Xenopus tropicalis: one gene and its partners. The protein of the gene in region 1 interacts with the protein of each later gene in a pairwise test. Links are inferred from orthologs where the notes say so. Each region holds a gene or a part of one and is shown on either strand. Other genes may lie near its edges.

Region 1 (3,204 bases):
AGTAGGAGCAACAGGACTTTTCAGCTGGCATTCAGTGCATGCAGAGTAGAGATGGAGGCAATCGTCAGAAGTCCACAATTCGGCAGCACGCTCCAGATAGTAGAAAAGCTGCAACAGTTACAGTTTAAAATCATTCAGTCCTTATTAACACATCTATACAGCTTGAGGTCTAGCGCTTTTCATACCAGTGGACTAGTCCTTAATTGGGGGTTTTAGAAAGGAATAGAAAGGATGACCGTAGGACTTAGAGGATGTGATTTACAATCTAAGCTGTTACTTTCAGAAGTTAAGTGGATCTATAAATTTTGTACTAGGCAACCACAAGAACTAAATCGGACATTTGATAAAAGTTGCTACTTTTGAGAGTGGAAATGTTTTAACCAGTGGGCTGCAACAATGTATTTAGTTAAGTGTGTTTTAACATTCCTACAATACATTTTTGCTTAATACAATGTTTGATCCATTAATAGTATACTGAACAATGTTATTCTGATGAACCAGCACATTGGATAGGCTTGTGGAAGATATGTTTATTAATTCATTAATCAATTTATTAATTGTTGTATTTATTTAGACAAATTATGTGGTTATTTTATGGGAGGTTTTATGGGTATATATTTCCTGTGCTGACTAAGGGAAGGAGGTCTCTGAGGAAGTGTGCTAGCATAAAACATGTTAGACTTTGAGCTGTATAGATGTGCTTGCTAATAAAGACTGAACACTTTTAAACTTTAACTGTTGTGGTTTTTAAACTATCTCGGGTGCACTGCCAAATTGTGGATTTCTGACAATTGTGTCTCGCCCTGGCTACAGACTTGGGGCAGGAGCTGTATGGTAAGCAGATTATTTGTTCTATGTGAGAGCAGGGGATCTGACCCAGTGAGAGATCTAAAATTCAGATGCAGGGTCCAGGGCAAGTTGCACTCAAACCATAGAATTTAACCAGCGAGCTGCCCGGGGGAAGGCGGGATCCATAACTGCTGATATTGAATGGATGCCTGGAGTATATTGTAAACTAATTCCTAAATTTAGTGCCTTGAATTCATTGATTCAATCAGAGATGGAGGCAATGCCCTGTAGATTGATTTAGTGTATAACTATATGTGGAGATAAAATGGGTGGGAAAATATTTGAATGACATATTTTACATCAACTTCTGAAATTTCATAGAGCAGTACATATTTATTTGAGGACATGCTGACACACCCATTCGCAGTGAAAGCTCTATGCTGCCTAAACAATGACATCCAGACACCAAGAACTGAAAATATAGAACACCAAGAATTAAGAATACTTTAAATGTATGGGTAGGTTGGCCAGCCACTTTAATCGACTCATTCAAATATATATATAAAAAGAGGTCTCATATAGCTAGAAATAATTCCTAAAATAGTTCAAAAATATGTTAAATAGCCCCCAGCAGTTTAATGGAGAATGGAGTTGTTCATAAAGCAGATTTCAGCAGAAGCTAAAATACAGTCAGTTCAGGGAATGGAGTGAAAATGTCAGATGGACTATAGATGAGGTAATGGAAACCAAAACTGTTAAAACTGTTGTCAGTCTTTAAAAAGAAGCAGATCACACTTCAACATAGTTATAGATAGAGACAGGCGCATGTAGGCATACTTCTATGCAATCATCATTTGAGCCATTTAGTAGGTCAGTATTAGCAACAGAATGACTTGGGTGTTTCCCTGTACCATTCAAAACATTGCCAAACTTCTTTCTGTAAAGACATTCATCCATATCTTAGCCTTTAGTTCCCAGTCTGAAAGTGTTTCCATTAAACGTCCTTAGAAGTGATCAACATCTTGCCAGCCCTCTCTTCAGAAAAGCTAAGTTCTTCTCTCACCTCTGCCGTTTTGTGAGATATATAGCAGTTTGAAGACTTGGAATTGATTTATCTGATATTCAAACCATTATGAGACAATCCACCCATGCTAAAGCACTCAATTCTGCAGTTGGAAATTAATTCTAATGTAGATATCATTTATAACTTCTTATAAATTTAACATATAGGTAACATTTAAATTCTGTATATGACTGATTTCAGAAAAGTAGAAATTACAAATTATTTCTGCACAATGAAGGTTATTTTAAAAGGATATATTGTAATACCTGCTAATCTTTTCTTTTTTCTTTTTAAGGTGAGGAACTAACCAAACTAGAGGATGAAGACGAGCAGGGCTGGTGCAGAGGGCAACTGGACAGTGGGCGGCAGGGCCTCTATCCTGCCAATTATGTAGAGTCCATATAAAGGCACCTGGACACATTAATCAGACTATACATCATCCTTTAAGAAAACTTCCTTTTTCCCCCACTTATGCTACCAACCATACCTCGCAGTCCTGAACTGCAAAAATAGTACTAGTAGTGCTTAGATGGCAGTAAAGCATTATCCTGATATTTCCTGATTGCAATCATAATGGGTGTTTATCTTAACACAATTCCTGCTCTGTCACTTTGTTTTCTACACATATTGACATATTGCACACATCATGTTTTTAATGCATTATCTTTAATGTGACAGGATAAGGTAAGGGCAAGGGATCCTTGTTATATATTCTTATTTGAATATTTGTCCTTTGATACTCTTGACATATTTACACTCTCTGTATTGAGTGTCAGTGTCTACAAAAACTCCTTTTATAGGGTTTAATATTACTTCTTCATAGGGATACAAACAAGATCATTTCTGAGTAGCACTATGTATATCACTTATTTTACCACTTATATTTATTCAAACCAAACTGAATTGGGATAAATATCTAAGTAGCTATTGTGCTCTCATACTAGAAAATCTGCATTTCTGGTTAAAAAAGAGAAATTTGGCTCTTAAAATTACCAGGGGTAGCCATGTGACACCCCTAGTAACATGCCACTGGAGGCTAGTTTTTACTTTAAAGGAATAGTTCAGTGTAAATGGGTAAAACAGAGACTGCACAAAAAAAAAAGTATTTATAATATAGTTAGTTAGGCAGAAATGTAATCAATAAAGGCTGGAGTGAACAGATGTCTAACATAATAGCCAGAACATTACTTCCAGCTTTCAGCCCTCTAACCTCTTAGTCAGCGACTTTGTGGGGGCGGTACATGGGACATAACTGTTCAGTTAGTTTGTGAGCATGCAGAGAGCAATAAAGGAGGAAGTAGTATTCTGGCTATTATGTTAGACATCCATTCACTCCAGCCTTTATAGATTAC
Region 2 (3,500 bases), on another chromosome or scaffold:
TGAATAACCAATGAACATTTGTCTTTTTATAAAAGTAGATCTAAATATTGAAAAAATAGTCATGCTTTTTAAGAGATTACGCTGGCAAAAAAACAATTTTCAGAGAAGATGTGTGTTTACTAGTAGTCTGGGAATTCAGTGGGCACATAATGTACTCTGCAAACTTGCAGTGTTGTACTTGCCTTGTGCTTGATACAGAAAAAGGGTAAAAGGACAAGGCTAAACAATATTTTGCTCTGGCTTCTGGAGGTGGGAAAAGGACCATCTGGGGTTGTAAATAAACTTGAGAACTACATTTTCACATGTAAACTGCAAACAGTGTCATTCAGTGACCCAGCTGGAATAGATATCGATGAAAAGAGGATTCCTTAACTCACAAGGGAATGAACAGAATTTTGTAACTCATGTTTATTGTTTCTATCTACTTTACTTGTATGCTTACCTAGCATTTAATGTGGACATATTGCACCAATTTACAAATTGATCCACATCATTTCATAGGGGGTAAATATAATGAAACAACAAAGTTGTGTACAATCTGCCTGGATGTGTGTTTTCCTGTATTTGCTGTGCAAATTTATTAGGAGACCAAAAGAAAAACTTCATATTTTAGAAATTAAGCTACGTCATTTTTATACAGGGAAAATAATTTAACTGATCTACGGAACAATCTAATGATATTTTACGTTTAGAAATTCTACAAAAAAGAATAATTGTGGCGCATCCAGAGAAATAGATAATTTTGCAAATAAATAACCTTTTATTTATCTTGTTCCCAGCCTGAATGCGACCTGCTTTAGAACACCTTAATTTAAGTTCCCCTGCACCAGTGAGCTCTAAGGCTGCTCCTGTGGTATCTATGTCCATTTTTTTTATTAATTGTCTTTTGTCTGGAGCTACGTCCCCCCCCCCCAAAGTACAGCAAATTTTTAATTATATAAAACAGGTCAATGTATTTAATAAGTTACTCTCTTAATATTTGCCAAAAAGGATTATTTACAATACATAGCTAATACAAAGGATATACTAAAAAAATGATAAATGAAAATATGCTTTGCCCTATATACAGTACCTAGGGCACCCACACCTACAGTAAATACTAGGTTTCTGCTACCAATGATTTATAACCTCATATTTGCCAATGGAGCCCAGAGCTCAGGTTCACAGTGCTCTGTCTGCCCTTTTTTGCAGTTTTTCTTAGGTCTTACAGTTCAATCCTTCTTTGAAGGGCTAACCTTTTTAATGGCCCCTATAGTTTCTTAACAAGGTAACAGGTATAATATAACATAGGTTTATCTGTCATTCAGTTATAATTTCAAGAACAGCAAATGAGTGTTTACCCCAAATCTTACCAGTATCTTATGACCCATTAAGGGATCTTCAATAGTGCTGGGACAGTTTGCCTGACTGGGCCATGGGTTATATCACATACCATGCTGTAACTGGTTGGGCTATACTCATGCTTTTATTATCATGGGCAATGTTTTAAGACTTGGGCAACTGGTTATAGCTGTAATGAGCGGGAACCCAGCTAAGTGCCAGAATAGCTTCCTTCATCTGAGAGTCTTACAGACTGCATGGTAATGACAGCTGAGGGTTGATTAGTATTGTAATGTTACTTAGTTTCATAGTTAATTTGTGTTGAAAAAAGAAAAACAAATCCATAAAGTTCAAATTCTCTAAATGAACCAAGTGCACACATGGAAGTGGAAGTACTATGTCAAATGCTTTTCTGTCACTCTTTGGATCTCTCTGTTACAATCTTGATGCATGTTACAGTGTGCATTTAACCTCTCAAGCGGTGTGGGGAACAGTTGCTTATCTTTACTCACACAATAATGCAGACATATACTATATATATATATATATATATATATATATATATATATATATATATATATATATATATTCCCTGACGAAAGTCCTAGGTAAGGACTGAAACGTTGGAAATAAATTTCACCGCTTGCATTTGAATAAGCCTTTATTGTTTTTTGTGCTTTGATGATCAAATCCTATGAGTGCCGACACTTTTGCTTGGCTAGAAGATTTCCCTGCTCTGGCACCGAGGTTTAGTACAATTATTTGGTGTGCTCCCCACTTTGGATTCTATATATATATATATATATATACAGTATGTATATATATATATATATATATATATATATATAGGCAAACAGAGTACCGCACACATAGGGACTTTATGAAAAAACAAAAAAGGTTTATTGAAAGAGATCCGACGTTTCGAGCACCAAACTGTGCTCTTCCTCAGGGACTGGTTTGTCCCTGAGGAAGAGCACAGTTTGGTGCTCGAAACGTCGGATCTCTTTCAATAAACCTTTTTTGTTTTTTCATAAAGTCCCTATGTGTGCGGTACTCTGTTTGCCTATTAAATTTTTTTGACCAGCACCGAGGGCACTTGTTTGCCTGAAGGGTGTGCTCCTTTCTGTTTCTGTATATATATATATATATATATATATATATATACAGTATATATTCTTGTTATATGTGATAGTACAGCACCCTGCAATAGAACAAAAACGTGGTGCACTTCCCCAACAGGTTCCGATGTCCTTACATATAATATTTTATATATATATGTCAGCAGGATAGCGGGAACTCCTGCTTGAAGTGGAAGTATATATATATATATATATATATATAAAATAGTCCATAGGGTGCATTTGCAGCAACAAAACCTGGGTGCCAGTACCAAAAAAAAATGCACTGGAACAAGGGCAGCAGTCCTAGGATTTAAAGAATTGTGATCAAAATGTAAATGTAAAAATAAAAGGTTTATTACTCTGCGTTTTGGTCTTGCATAGAAACCTTCACCTGGAGTGAAAAACACTCCAGATGAAGGTTTCTGTGTGAGACCGAAAAGTCGAGTAATAATAAACCTTTCTATTTTTACATTTACATTTTGCTCACAATTCTTTAAATCCTAGGACTGCTGCCCTTGTTCCAGTATATGTATGTATATATATATAGTTGCAAGATAAGTTTGCCAACCTTCTTGTAGGTGTAGACTGTTAATATCAGCTAAAAAAGCACATTTCTGTGGAGGCAACATAAAAAAGTATATATGTTTTATTCTCAAATCATTCAAATAATTTGAATTCCGCTAACCTTAAGGAAATAATTAAAAATTAAGTACTTTATTTGCTGTACTGCCAAATAAATTTACAGAGGATACAGAACATTCCGCATGTAGCATTACACTACCTTTTTGAGTCTTGCAGCACCAGCACCTGAGCGAATAGCTTCCATTAAGGCGTCCCTTGCATTTAGAGAGTTAGCTGTAGTGGTAGGAGACACCATAGCAGATGATTTTAGCACAGGTGGCGGCGGTGGTGGAGGAGGCATTAATGGTGGAGGTGGAATTGATTGCAGCACATTATGTTCCTTTTCTGCCTCTTTGACAGGCTCTGCATTTCTCACAGACTGAAGCTCATTTGATACAGTAGATGAAGTCTGAAGAAAAAAGTACATTAATAGAAGCA
Region 3 (3,500 bases), on another chromosome or scaffold:
TCCTTTATTTAATAAGGAAATCCTATAAAGATTTAGCAAAATGTATATTTATAATATTATCATTATATTAATTTGACTGTTATATTAAATCTTTATTCTCATAAAGGACTGTTGATATAAATAGATTTATTTATGCACTGTAAAGGTGGTCATACACTGTAAGATCTGCTCCTTTGGCGAGGTAGCCAAATGAGTGGATCTTTTCCCTGATACGTTCACCTAAGTTGGGGGGTATCAAGCTAATCTGATTTTTTGGCCCTAGGGCCAAATGATCACATTAAAATGAAGGGGTAGGAGCCATCAGGGGAAAGGATTGCATCAATGCCCTGACAGGAAAATCAAACCTACCTGATCAGGGTGGCCCATCGGGGGTACCCATACAATGGCAGATAAGCTGCCAAATCAGTCTAAAGGACCAGTGTATGGCCACTTTTAGTCCCTGACCCATAGTGCTTATAGACTAAATTTGGTGTCTTGGGTACAGGGAGATTAAGAGCTATGCCTAGAGACACAGAGCTGACAAAGTCACAGGCTACAAGGTTATTAATTGCCACTGGTACAAGGGACAGGACAGCCAGACCAATCAGAGTTCCAGAGCCGCATCACTTTCAGATTTACAATGAAGAGTGTGAAAAAGCTTTTATTAGAACTAACAAGGATCTGGTACCTGTATATTAAATGTATATGTACGGGGCAGGGACCTCCTTCCTACTGTGTCTCATACCACATGGCACTTACTCCCTGTGTATTATTTATTGTATTTATTATAACACTTGTCCTCCCTGTGTGTAATTTTGTATATTGTAAGATTGTACAGCGCTGCATACCCTTGTGGTGCTTTATAAATAAAGTTATACATACATACATATGTATAAAGGAAAGTAGTGTTTCTTAATTGTCATGTCTTCAGTAGTTTGCTCTTTTGTTTTCCCATGATAGAATCCTTTCATGCTTGGTGGAGGAGAAATATTTTATGATAAGTCTCCTGGTTTCAGAAAATAACTGAAGCTCCTCCCACTTACTCACCAAATGATCATTAGTTACTTTCTGCTAAAACTGCTCATTTGGGCCATCTGCCTGATCAAGCTAGGTAAACTTTTACCATGTTACAGTATAATTCTAAATGTTTTCTCCTTTTCAGAATAAACACACAGTTAATATATGTGTCACATGTTTGCAGACAACTCTTTTGGTTTAGAGGAACTAAAGTTCGAGTACTACTTGCCCTTCAAGAATTGTTAGCAGACTTTAAAACATATTGATTCCACTTACTCATCAAGATCCTCCTCCTCTTGCCTAGCTTTGTTAGCGTAGAGGTACTTGCTCATATCCACAGGGCGGGTGTTTTTTCTCTTTGCTGGTTGAGGTGGAGAGTCCTTACTAAGCTCAAGGACCTGGTCTTGCTCTGTATCAGGCTCATCAAAAGGATTTATATAAACTGCAGGCTCAGGTTCTTTAAAAGGATTGTAGTCATCAAATAAGTCGTCAGACTTTGAAGGTGCTTGCTCAGAAGGATTTTCTAATACACAAACAGTCAAAATTATTTCAAGGGGTAAGTTAATCATTAAATAAAGAAGATCATATTAAAAAACTAATTTGCAATCTCTAGAAGCAGAGCTAGGCATTCAAATGTGAACAGAATTACACCTATTAAATTGCTATATGCTAATATGCTTTTATAGGTATGGGACCTGTTATCCAGAAGGCTCGGGACCTGGGGTTTTCTAGATAAGGGGTCTGTAATTTGGATCACCATACTTTTTCTGCTAAAAAATCATTTAAATCATTTAAACATTAATTAAACCCAAAGGACTGTTTTGCCTCCAATAAGGATACATTGTATTTAGCTGGGATCAAGCACAAGGTACTGTTTTATTATTACATAGAAAAAGGAATCATTTAAAAAATGTTAAATAATTTGATTACAATGGGGTCTAGGTGAAATGGCCATTTCACAATTTGGAGCTTTCTGGATAACGGGTTAAATGGATACTATGCAGAAAATTTATAATCCACAAAATAAGGCCCCCAGATTTTGAAAAGATACAGGCATTATTTCAATATTTCAGGTGCTGTTCCGATATACTGGGGGTCATGCATAGGGTTAGCACTTCACAGCACTTCAGACATGGCTAATTGCACAGTAAATATTAGTTATATGGCTAAATCCAATTCCTATAAAACTGCTTGCAAAATAACTAAATATTAAGATACACATGGATAAAAGTTGCTCATTTTACTCTGATCAGCTAAATTCTCAGGACAAATGTGTCAGAAACAAAAGCATCTCCAAAATTCTGTCTTTACCTTCTGCGTCAGGATCGCCAAACGGATTAAAATCAGCCACGTCAGAGCTTTCAAACGGGTTGGAGCTTGAGTTCATCAAATCGCGTTCCTCTTCATCCAGAAAGTTTAACTTATTTATAAGTTCTAAGAACAAACAAAGACATCATTCAAATCCCCAAGAAGGAACAACAAGAATAGTGTAACATGGGCATCGGCACATTGTGGCGTCACTACAGGTGTATGTAAACATATGCGCTCTGCAGTGAATGCAAAGTTAACCAAATGAAATGAAAAGATCATGCCCACGTAGAAACTGAAAGAAACAAAACATAGCACATTAGGCATAACTGGTGCCTAAAATCAATGATTACTTAATAGCGAACTCACATTTCCACATAGAAGGGCACATGCAGAATCAATGGCCCGGCAACCTTTAAACCATACAGTACAAACACAGGTGTACAGTTTTGCTGCAGAGAAGGTGAAAGCTGCATACACAATACATGCGGAACTGTGTGTGGCTGGTGTCACCATGTGCTGGAAGGGGTGTCTTGTGGAGTGAATTTACAACAAAGCACAATATGCTGTGCTGCCAATCTGTGAGGAAATATGCGCTGCTTCTGAAGTGGCGGAGATTCCTCTGTGCAGTGTGGAACTTATGGTACATTCTAGTTCTACATTCAGTTATAGAGGTCACAAGGGAAAATTGTACATTCAATTGAATGTTCAATTGTAGGAATGTTGTTAGCCCACCTCCTCTCCCTCATTTCATGTGTAAATCAAAAATATCCAGCTAAAGCGGACCTTTAAATATGAGAATACAGATTAAGGACACCACTAAATATTTCTGATTTGGATTTACAGGATAATGAACCACCAGTCTAAGGCATGCTTTTGTATCTACACAAACTTCTAAATAGCCTCTTCTAGCCCCTTTAAATATTTAGAGAGTGTATATAATACTTTCTAATCTATACCCAGTGCTGACAGGCATTTCTAGGGGTGTCCTGGCAGAACAGCACTAGTCCTATCTGTGTTACTATGGGTACTTTAAGAGCAGGCCAATGTTAGCAAGCATTGCTATGGGTACAACATGAAAACATTACAAGCACTAGACATGTTAGAGTTGCTATAAAGTTGCTCTCACAGCCTGCCTGTGTATGTTGGTCTCACAGCAGATCCATAAAAGCGCCTATTAGTATTGCTCTCATAGC
Region 4 (3,500 bases), on another chromosome or scaffold:
TCCCAACTAAGATATAATTACCCCTTATTGGAGGCAAAACAATCCTATTGGGTTTATTTAATGGTTAAGTGATTTTTTTGTAGACTTATAGAGATCCAAATTACAGAAAGATCCCTTATCTGGAAAACCTCAGGTTCTGAGCATTCTGGATAACAGGTCCCATACCTGTACCTTGTTTTTGATGAGCATGTCCATCAGTAGAATGTGCAGCACCTTTTTCTTCACCAAGCTTCCCCCAAGACAAGTTTTACCTCACTCATTATATAGCCTGAGGGTGTTATAAGGCACCTTCCATTAAGGTGGTCTAACTGGGGCTAAGGCATTCCTGCATTTCCATGAAGAAGACCAATAAACCAAATCGATACATGTAGAAGTGGGAAGTGCTAAAGCTACATCTCACATCCATTCATATCGACTCATTTGGCCACTGGTTAAATGCTTTAACAAAGAATGTGACCTTCAGGCTGTGGGGAAGTCAATAAATGGGCAAATGCCAATGTATAACCACCCAAGTTCTCTACTAGATGGACATATTCTTGGAGAGAACTTTTAAATATACCTATAAAAACTTCCCTATTGCTATACATATTGTCTAAAACTCAATCTCCCACTTCAAGAACTTCAACCAACTTTTTTCTAATAATGGTTCATAGCTGGTCATCTTAGTAGTTATATAATGGTTACTATATATGGGACATACAAATATTAGGACTGTTATGTGATTAGAGTCTGGGCTAATACATTTATAGCGTATTGTGTGAAGATATCATATCTTCTCTGCACTTGATAATAAATGATAATCAATGTGAGCATTAGTTTGCTTGCTTTGACAAATCTATCAGTGCTCTAGACGCTTGATTTTCAAAAACAACCATTTATGCTTACTGTTGTCAGCTACAATCTGTTCTTATTTCTGTTGAGACAAGCAATATGGCAGCTCCAATATGGCTTGTGAAATCTCAGCCTTTGAGACATTTTGCAGGCCCTCATTGGTGGCCACTCACCCTTTTCAAGTTAGCGGCAGCTTCTCCAGAGCGAATGGCAGCCAGTAAATTCTGCCGGATGAGTTCTGGGTCAGAAGTGTCAAAAGATACAGTAGTCTTTTTCTCTGCAACTGGTGGCGGGCTATGCACTCTGTATTTTATTTCAGGGGTTAGTGTCTAGAATAGAAAACGACTCACATAATAAGTCTTGTTAAGGTTAAACAAAGTGATTACGGGTAACAAAAACAAGTACATCAACATTAATTTTCACATATAACAAATATTGTTATCAAAATGTTTATGTAAAAAAACAGAAACATTAAACAAAATTAAAAAAGGAGTTCATTTTCGTCGGCTTTATTTTGTTCTCACTGGGATATAGGCGCTTACAAGTGAATCTCTCTAACTGGACCAAGGCCGCACCCTCGAGATCATTACTCGAAGAAAGAAAAAGATAATGCCTACTAAATTAACACCAGGTCTCAGGCATTAACTGTTTAGGTTCCAGCAAACATTGAACATAAAGTGCTGATATATTTCTCCTTGTGCCATAAGGTTCAAAAATTACTCTGTACAGCCCCCAGAATAAAATACATGCAGGTTTATTTTGCTTCTCTATTACAAGCAGCTGAACTGCAGTTATTTTGGTTACTTACTTGCCCTACTGGGCATGCTCACGGCCTCTGCTCCAATTAAAATCAATCAGGCACACGCATTAGGCACCTCTTTGAGGTCATCACAGTTAGAGAGAGAAGGAGGGCTTCGAAAGTTAAAGGGGAGGAGCTTCACGCTAGACAAGGAAGTAACTAAAAGAACTGCTGTTCAGCTGCTTGTAATAGAAGGACATAAAAAAGAACCTACAAACAGGTAGAAAGGTATGTTATTCTAGGGGCTATACAGATAAATTGTACAGATAAAAATTGGGGGTTTAATAGGTATACTTATTCTTTAAATGGCTAGAATAGCGAAGAATCCTTATGTATGAGACAGTGATATCACTTAAGACTTTGGCGGGTTCACGTACAGTATCCTTGAAAAGATTATGTAGACTTTTTAAGAGCCTTGGGACATGGAGTCAGGATATATTAGAGCAAGAAAGACAAACTTCAGCACTCAATGTTATTGCATGATGAGAAAATTATGGAGTTATTTGCCCCATTAAGAGGAACTCTGACCCAAAATTTGTTAAAGAGCCCCACACAACACTGAAACCCCAAATATACGTAGCACTAAACTGTTTGCTAAAGAATTATAAACAAATACCATTTTTATATGCTGAAAACCAGCTGCAAAACAGTTCTTCTCTTTCTGCATCGTTTGAAATCCTGGCAGGGGAGGAGGGACTAAAACACTGATGTTGCTAATTGTTGCTAACTTCTCCACAGCTTACAGACAGCATGCAACTACATAACCTACAATGCATTGCACTGTGATGTTCCTTTCCTTATCGACATCCCATGTGCAGGGAATTGTGGGACTTGAAGAAAGCAGGCCGAAGGCAGGCTGAGAGCAGTCGACTACTGTTACATACTTTTTTTTTTTATTTGAGTCTCAAAAGTAGTCAGTCAGATCAGCAGGAGAACAGGGGGCTTAGAGAACTGCTCCAAACCATATTATTACATTAAATATCAGGAAAAGGCTGCACATGTTTAACTTGAAAGCTTACTTTTCAAAGAGCTTAAGTTGTATTTGGGTGGAGTTCCCCTTTAAATATCTTCAGTAAAGTTATACCAGGATAGTGCTACAGCAGGCTAAACAAAGTTAAACACAGGTAGTGACCTATTAAGAAATATAATTGGTGTTACTAGGGGTTCGGACTTTAATTTCTCTCCTCCATAGTTTCAATAATGAGTTATACAAATCTATGTTCTCTTTGAAGCAGACTTGGGGATGACCAAAATGAACAAAAGATATTACAGGTATGGGATCCCTTATCCGGAAACCCATTATCCAGAAAGCTCTCCCATAGACTCCATTTTAATTAAATAATTCATAATTTTAAAACTGATTTCCTTTTTCTCTGTAATAATAAAACAGTAATTGTAATTGATCCCAACTAAGATGTAAATAATCCTTATTGGATGCAAAACAATCCTATTGGGTTTAATTAATGTTTTATTGATTTTTTAGTAGACTTAAGGTATGGAGATCCAAATTACGGAAAGAGCCCTTATCCAGAATACCCTTGGTCCCGAGCATTCTGGATAACGGGTCCTATACCTATATAATAATTACCATGCCATGCTTTAACTCTCTCGTAAATCAGTTGAAAAGGTGAAATTTACAGTATGATTGATGTCAGCCCAATATCAGCAAAAATATTTTCTGTGGAGCAAAAAAACCAATACTGGATTTCTGGAGTTGTTTGTACAAAACAGGAATTGACAGCTCCTCATATAAACGGGTCACTGGCCAACCTTGAATATACAGGGGCCAAAATTTCACATAGTGGTCCAACAGCTCACCCTGTAGGTCATTTGGAGAAATTACAGCGATTTAAGGGATTTATGCCCTACT
Region 5 (4,097 bases), on another chromosome or scaffold:
TGCCGCAGTCATTAATAAGAGGCGTTTGCTCGTTTTCTTTCATGATAATAACAAGCCTCATTATCCCCCCGCCCCAGGCAGGAAGAAGAGAATCGAGGCTAAACTTGCCCCTTGAAGGGGTTAAAAGTTGTTGTTTGTAATTCTGCCCGCCCCCCTAACTCTGAACATGACTGCCCCAACATGCGCAATGCCTAATAGTGATGCACATTGGCCCCTTCCTCCTCCTGTACTGGTGCGAATGGAGCACAAACCTTCCAGCTCCCACTGGCAACTCCCTTTGCACATTTTAGAAATACACTTATATATAGATACATGTGTGTGTGTCAGCCCTCCTCCTCCCACTGCCAAAAGCAAATTGACAGCAAAGCCAAACGCGCACCCCGCCAGCCCTTCAGATGGTTACGCATCTGCGCTTGTTACCTTGCTCTGCTTGGGGGTCTCCTCACTGGTGAGATTAGCTCAGGTTAAAATAGGGGAGGATCCAACGGGGGTGGGGGGAAGAGAAAAAACCCAGAAAAGAGCATGAGCCTCCCAGAGAAAGTGCGCGGTGTATCATTGCAGAGTGTATCCAGAGCCGCTCTCCCCAGCCTTCTCCCTCTAGGAGTGGGTACAAAGTAACTCCATGGCTGTCATGCACAAATAAAAGCTCCCCCGGTGAGATGGACGTTCCTCACTCCCGTATCAGATGGCCGCTGTGTCTCTCACACACACTTCCTCGCTGGGCTGCTGCACAGGATCCCCGTAGCCATCCCCAGATGCGTGTGTGTGTTGATATGAATGCTCGCAGCCCTGTTAGGCTCCTCGTAAAGGGGGTGGGTGCTGCGAGGCTTTACTTTCCGCTCAGTCCTATGGCAGTGTCATGCTGGAAGGGCTTTGGGTGCCTGTAGGAGCAGGTAGGGGAGGGGGTGCTGCCTGGGTCCCTCTCTGATTGGGGGTTCGAGCTGACAATCCTTCATGTGTTTGTGACAGGATAGAGTTAAATTACGTTTTTGAGAAAAAAAAAAAAAAAAAGCTGCAGTATCGGATTGCGCTACAAGTCAGATCAGGTTGGTTTCGCAATGATTCTCCCTCCCCAGCAAAACACTTTTTTCTTCCAATTCCCCCCTCCCCTTTTTCTTTTTCACCCCTTCTCCTCCAAAGTACGGCTTCACTCCCCCTTCCTAGCCCACTTTCTTATCCCCCAGCACAGCACTCCTCCCCTGCTTTGCCTTCACTTTATCCCAGTTGTGCTCATTAGTTGCACTTGCACCCCCTTGCCCGGCCCCCCCTGTGCTGCCCCTTCGCTAACTCTTCTTTCCGCGGAGCCCTCTCCAGGCACAGGCGTTGGGCACCACCAGCGAGCAACCTTACAGGAAAAAAGCTTTTGGCGCCATGTTAATGACGTACTTCAAATTTGCCATTTCTCCTGCGTCAAAAGAGGTTTCTGAAAACAGGAGGTTGATTTGGGGTTGGGATACGAAGGGGAGGGGGGTCCGAGGGAGGAGAGAAAGAGGCAGAGGAGGGACTGGGGGCTGGACACCCCCTTGCAAGTGCGAGAGAAGTCAGAGGCGGCGGGGTGGGTTGGAGATTCGAGAGTTTTATTGGGATAGGTGAAAGGAGAACGGAAGGAAAACTCTGAATTTCTATCCCCTAACGCCCCAGCTCCTGCGCTATAAAACAGTATATAGCATGGCCGCCCAGAGAGGGGTGCGACTAAGCGCTATAGAAATATATAAGGTCGCTAGCGCTTGTGACGATGCCCGGAGGCGGAAAGATCTGTAGTCACGTTCAGGGGACAGCCCTTAATTCGACAAGTGACAGCCTTTAGCGCTCCAACTAATGTATAAATGTCCCGCCGCTGAGGTGGGAGTTATTGTTCCTGCACGGAATAAAGCGACGTGCGAAAAGGTTGTCATTCATTTACTGAGTTGGTGAATTTGGCGCAATTATTTATGAGCAGTACACTTTATGCTTAGAGGGGATTAATGTGGGTATTGCGGATAGACCCGAATGTAAGGAGCCGGTGCTTTATAATAAGCTGCACTTAGGGCACCGGGAAACTTTCTCTGCTTATTGCTCATAATGTGGCGCTGATCAGCCAGCGCTCGAATAGTTACGTGACATCTGCAGGTGTTTCCTCTGCCCCCTCCCCCGGGAGAGCCGCTCACTGAGGGACTAGTAGGAAGGAGCTGCTGGCGGGGCGATATGTGCCGCGGGGAGGGGAATAACAGCAAACGCTCAGGCGGCTCCACCTTTACATTGGTTTGTTCTTGGGGCACTTGTTTCTTCGTTTCATATATACTTAATTTTCCGCTTATAAATGGCTCTGTGAAAACAACCTCCGTTTCCCGCTTTGTCGCCTACCCCTTACGTGTTGGTATATCCCTCAAGCGATCAGCTCTGGATGCTGCCTCCAGCGTAATGTAATGTAGGCATAACCTGGCAAAGCTGGGAAACCTCGCATACAAAATATCCTTTTTAACTGGAGCCATTTGGTCGGGAACTTCGTGTTCAACATAATGTTATAAACCGAATCTTTTTCATAGGCGTCCCCTGCCCTTGTCTGTGTTCATAAAGGCCAATCACATATTTTTGGCATTACTCATATGGTGTTATGCATATATTCTTAGTAAAGCGGCTTCATACTTCTCATTCCTATATAACACATGAACAATTACACAAAAATTCAGCAAAAATATATAGGGATGCACCAAATCCACTATTTGGGATCCGGCAGAACCCCAAATCCTTTGCAAATCAGGCAATGAAGTACCAATGAGAACGCCAATGAGAAGTGGTTAAACATATAAATACATATATATATATATATATGTATTAGGAGGTTTAGTTTACAGTAAACAGTACTTGAGGGGACTACTAAGTATGAGCATACTGTACAGCCCCAGTTTATGTAAAAGACATATGCTATTGTATTAATAAAACTCCATTAAATAAGGTGATGTTATACATTGTTTTAAATATGTAAACAGTAAATATATCTTATACACAAGAGCCGTGATTATCCTGTAAATTATATCCTTATATATGGTGCTTGGTGATGTCATCAGTTGGTGCTTAGTAATGTGATATGTGACTCACTGGAACATGTGTATTATAATAAATAATGTACCCCCTGTTGTAAAATATGAGGATGTTAGAAATTACCTTGGAATTACATGACTTTTATATAGTCATGGATCTCCTAGGGGACTTCATATTTTACAATAGGTGTTACATTGTTCACTATAGAGAGAGTGAGTGGGAGCAGCAGCTCTTAACCTATGGGTCAGGTCCCACAAAAGTGTCCCTGTACAATTTTGTGACTTCATGGTCCTCTTTTAATAGTAATTACAATTCATTGAATAAAAATGTTTAATTCTATAAAAACTTATGTGGTTTTCTTGAGAAAAGGTTTAGATCACATGTCCCATATGTAATACAAGGCACTATGTTTGCCCAGTAGCAGTAACCCATAGCAACCAATAGGATGTTTGCTTTGAAACAGGTGACCAGTAAATTCTACCTGCTGATTGGTTGCTATTGGTTACTGTTCCTGGGCAAACTTAGTGCCTTTTATTACATAACCCCTAAATAATGTTAAAATTGGAGGTGCCAGTTTGTTTCTTTTCAAGGCTTTATTAATCTGTGTTGTTTAGTTGTCCCCAGCTTTATACATACGTGAAAGGTATTCATTTTTTTAGTTTTTTTTTTTTGTTGTGGTTGGTTCTTTAGTGCATCTAAGGTATGCCCCAAATCAAGTATTTTTTTATTTGTCCGAATGCTGAATCCTTTACAAAAGATTCTGTTGAATATCAACACTCTAATCTGCATGCATATTCAGATCTGACAAAAACAATTGAAAAATTGCATCTTCTAGGAACAAAAAAGTATCATGTTTAGCTGTCCAAAGCAGTAAAGTTTTGTGGGTTTTAACTCAGTTTAGCTAAACAGTAGGACTTAGTGTTATCTGAATCCTTCAAAAGAGTGCTGGGAATTTGGGCCAAATCCTGTATTTTGGTTAGGGATGTACCGAATCCATTATTTTTGAATACCAAACCAAATCCAACTCCAAATTTGCATATGGAAATCAGGCTACTTAAGGGTTAAATAGATGCGCA
Region 6 (3,500 bases), on another chromosome or scaffold:
TAAAAATGTATTTTGGAGAGTCCTATGTGGCTTAAATTAGTAATTTTAGTTTGGCATTTGTAGCATTAATAGACATTTGTCAGTTTTTTTGGGGGCTCAGCACTTAAACAGTAACTGCTACATGATCCTTTGCTGCAGGATCCATGTACAGTACAGAATACTTCACCTGTCCAGGAAGAGATCATCTCTGATCAGAGTGAACTTACGGAAGCACTGAACTTTCAAGATATTATTGCATCTGATACCAATTGCCTACAGGAACATTATATTACCTTGGAACCTGATTCATACCAAGATCAAATAAAGTTTCAACAGGTCAGTTAAAGAAAGTTATACATTGAAAGCAGTTTCTTATGTATGTATGCATATATGTAAATGTTATTTAAATAGTGCTACTTATGTACACAGGGCTACATACCAGCAGAAAATATACCTGTGCAAAACAGGTCATCTTTCCTAAAGATTAGGGTCAATAAAAAGATTTCACTGTTGGGCCAAGTAATCTACTTACTGTATGACAACTTACCTGTCAGCTAGTCAAACAATTTAAGAGCTTCATAGGCATACTGAATGTTACTATACTATTTGACCATCTGATGTTATATGCTTTTTTATAGGATAATCTTTATTGCATATAAGCAAAGCATAAATGTTTTCTCCATATTTAAATTGTAAGTAATAAAAAGGTACATGCGTAAGAATAGACCCACCCCACCACAAACACAGGGAATATTTTGGGGCAATCCTGGCTACATAGATGTTGCTGTAACTAATATAAACTTATTTCACAGGTTTAAATTTGATAATGAGTAGGGCTACAGTGAGCCTTGAGGCATGTGATGTACCCTAAGCAGAAAAAGAATAGCAGGGTAGTTAACAGTAAACATCAGAGAAAGCAGCAGCAGAAAAAGAATAGCAGGGTAATTAACTGTAAACATCAGAGAAAGCAGCAACACTGATAAATTAGAATGGCATTTGCAATAAATTTTATTCTGTGTGTAAAATTTATTGATAGTGATGATATGTTTCGTACAATGTATTTATAGTATATAAATACCAATCTTCATTGTTCTTAAAGGAAAGAAAAGCAGCACCTGAACATATATCCTATTTCCTCCAACTTCCATGCTGAATATAACAATGTTTTTAATTCTTTCCATTTGATTGCCTACTTTGTTCATTCATTGGCTGATATAACTTAAGGTGGCCATACAGGGGCCGATTTCAGCTGCCGACTGACATCTGGCCTGAAATTGGGCAGCTCTCAGTTAGGAAGGTTCAATTTTCCCGTCGGATTCCGACAGCACCTATGCCTGCCTTTTTAATTCAATTTTTTGGCCCTAGGGCAAAACAATCGTATTAGCCCGATATAGCTCACCAGTATGCCGGCATATTGGGAGCAGATCCTCTTGCTTGGCGACCTTGCCAAACAAGCAGATCTTACAGTGTAGATGTATGTGTTTTTTAATGTGGAATTAGCCACATATTATAACAATAGTAATATAACAGTGCATTTTTTCATGAAAAGGCTTCATTTATATAAAACAGTATTTAACATATGTACTGTGATTTATTTTTGTAGAGACCATCAAGGGTGTAGTAACTTAAATGTGAACTATTTTTAATATTTCTACTTTCCAATCTGGGGAATATATTTTCACCCTTCTTTTTTCCCCTAGGATGTTACACAGTTAGCAGAGGATGATTCTGCTATACAAACAGATTTTGAAACAGGTATGCGCTCCTCTTACTGCAATTTAGCACCACATCTTACAATTTGAATATTATATATAAATAATAGGGGTATCTGTTCAATCCTTAATCTTTAAACACTGGAGGTGCTGTGAGTTCTCCCTTGAATACTCCCAAACCAATCATCAACAAGTAAAGACTCCACTAGGCTACACTTTTTGTACCTAATAAAAAGCACAAAACCTGCTGCCTTCAACTTCATTAAAGTAATGTAACAAAAGGGGCACACATTACTATAGGTCTAGAAACACAATGCAGTCAATCATAAGGTAGCATTTCTGGTAAAAAAAAAAAAAATCTAATAGGCTGCTTTGGGTTTCTAGACCTAAGTAAACTTTGTGCCTTTTATTATATTAACCTCAATGATTTATTAATCTAACAAAATCACAATTTGAAAATTCTTTACCAAACATTAAAATTTATAGGCATTCATTCAAATGACAAGTTCATTATTTATTCCCTTAATAAATCTCAGACAATATTTATATATGATATTATATTATAAAAAGCTATTAATACATCATATGTGACATTATATTACAACAAGCTGTGAATATAATTGCTGTGGTGTACATGTCAGAATTCTTTAACTCTTCAAGTGCCAACTTCTCAACAGGTAGAGAGGATTTTTGAAATATATCTTACTTGTTTTGAACCTCTTCCTGTCTGGGGTGGCAATACAAATGTCTTAGGTCTCAACTGTTTTAGTTCTCAGTTTTCTTTCAGGGTTCTTGTTTCTTGCTTTGGGATTTATGCAAGGCCCAATTCTTCATCAAGACCCTGAGTGCCTTTTTAATGGTTTGGAGGCCAGACATCTTTTGGGTCAGGTGGTTGATACATTACTTAAGGCTAGAATGAGTGTGGGAAAATTATTTGTTGCCATTTCAGTAGAGGGGTTGCTAGTAGTTTTTGGACTTCCTTTAGTCTGGAAAAGTTGCTAAAATATTGAAAAAGTTCATGTTGGGAGTTCACAGGGCTTAGAAACCTATGGTGAAAAGCATGCTTACATTTTCATCAACTGGCTTTGCAGTAGCTGGCTATACACCGAAAGACCCTCCCTTTTTCCTTGATGTGCCCGCCTTAAGGTGAGTGATATCAGATTTGGATCACATTGATGGGATGCAGGCTAATGAGGTGAGGACCATGTATGAGCCAATGCACCGGCAGGGATTTTACACCTGACTGAACAACATCTGCCTGAAATATCTTTGATCTTCATGCAGGATCCCTACAGGAAATAGACACCCTAAAGAAACAAATGCAGAAGCTGAGAGCAGAAAATCAGGAGTTAAAAGATAAAATACAGGCGAGTACATGATAAGCAAGGTGAACATTTTTGAAATTCTAACACTATGGACTGAATCTCAATAAATAACTAATTTTGTCCTTTCAGATACTTGAAAATTATGAGCGGGATGAAAGTGATATGGAAAATTCTTCAGACTTTATTCCACTCATCTTGTATGACTCCCTTCAGAGTCAATATATGCTTCTGCAAGAGCAGCTTAAAGAAACCCAGAATGAGCTGCATGGTTTGCAAAGTTCCACAGAGCAACTGTCCTCTCCCTCTTGCAAACTGATCCCTGCTGATGCTTATGAACAGCTCCGTATTGAGCATGAAGCTCTGAAACAATCCTTTAAGAAGCAACAGACCGCAAAGGGTCTAGAGCAGATTAAGAATGAGGAGGAACTGCAAAATATGGTGGAAGCTAGTAGGCTGCTACAGTGTGAGAAAAGATGTAAAGAAT

The links.
Region 2: the proteins of pacsin1 (region 1) and cobl interact in binary tests that used the Homo sapiens proteins (3 or more experiments, as listed by UniProt). The link is inferred for Xenopus tropicalis from reciprocal best matches to the Homo sapiens genes PACSIN1 and COBL.
Region 3: the proteins of pacsin1 (region 1) and ehbp1 interact in a two-hybrid assay, tested with the Homo sapiens proteins (2 studies listed by BioGRID and IntAct). The link is inferred for Xenopus tropicalis from reciprocal best matches to the Homo sapiens genes PACSIN1 and EHBP1.
Region 4: the proteins of pacsin1 (region 1) and cobll1 interact in binary tests that used the Homo sapiens proteins (3 or more experiments, as listed by UniProt). The link is inferred for Xenopus tropicalis from reciprocal best matches to the Homo sapiens genes PACSIN1 and COBLL1.
Region 5: the proteins of pacsin1 (region 1) and jade2 interact in a two-hybrid assay, tested with the Homo sapiens proteins (2 studies listed by BioGRID and IntAct). The link is inferred for Xenopus tropicalis from reciprocal best matches to the Homo sapiens genes PACSIN1 and JADE2.
Region 6: the proteins of pacsin1 (region 1) and ankrd24 interact in a two-hybrid assay, tested with the Homo sapiens proteins (2 studies listed by BioGRID and IntAct). The link is inferred for Xenopus tropicalis from reciprocal best matches to the Homo sapiens genes PACSIN1 and ANKRD24.

What each region holds. Positions count from the first base shown.
Region 1 is NC_030678.2:69,277,115-69,280,318, reverse strand, and holds the end of pacsin1 (protein kinase C and casein kinase substrate in neurons protein 1), read left to right. Parts: intron 1-2,147; coding exon 2,148-2,257; 3' UTR 2,258-2,704; downstream 2,705-3,204. UniProt on the Homo sapiens protein: Plays a role in the reorganization of the microtubule cytoskeleton via its interaction with MAPT; this decreases microtubule stability and inhibits MAPT-induced microtubule polymerization.
Region 2 is NC_030682.2:60,310,254-60,313,753, forward strand, and holds part of cobl (protein cordon-bleu), read right to left. Parts: intron 3,472-3,500; coding exon 3,223-3,471; coding exon of another isoform or gene 3,214-3,222; exon of another isoform or gene 3,133-3,213; intron 1-3,132.
Region 3 is NC_030681.2:33,085,162-33,088,661, forward strand, and holds part of ehbp1 (EH domain-binding protein 1), read right to left. Parts: intron 2,431-3,500; coding exon 2,308-2,430; intron 1,520-2,307; coding exon 1,273-1,519; intron 1-1,272. UniProt on the Homo sapiens protein: May play a role in actin reorganization. Links clathrin-mediated endocytosis to the actin cytoskeleton. May act as Rab effector protein and play a role in vesicle trafficking.
Region 4 is NC_030685.2:70,751,680-70,755,179, reverse strand, and holds part of cobll1 (cordon-bleu protein-like 1), read right to left. Parts: intron 1,161-3,500; coding exon 1,005-1,160; intron 1-1,004.
Region 5 is NC_030679.2:26,415,334-26,419,430, forward strand, and holds the start of jade2 (protein Jade-2), read right to left. Parts: upstream 2,801-4,097; 5' UTR 421-2,800; intron 1-420. UniProt on the Homo sapiens protein: Scaffold subunit of some HBO1 complexes, which have a histone H4 acetyltransferase activity. Acts as an E3 ubiquitin-protein ligase mediating the ubiquitination and subsequent proteasomal degradation of target protein histone demethylase KDM1A.
Region 6 is NC_030677.2:94,059,185-94,062,684, forward strand, and holds part of ankrd24 (ankyrin repeat domain-containing protein 24), read left to right. Parts: intron 1-138; coding exon 139-315; intron 316-1,679; coding exon 1,680-1,734; intron 1,735-2,975; coding exon 2,976-3,058; intron 3,059-3,145; coding exon 3,146-3,500. UniProt on the Homo sapiens protein: Component of the stereocilia rootlet in hair cells of inner ear.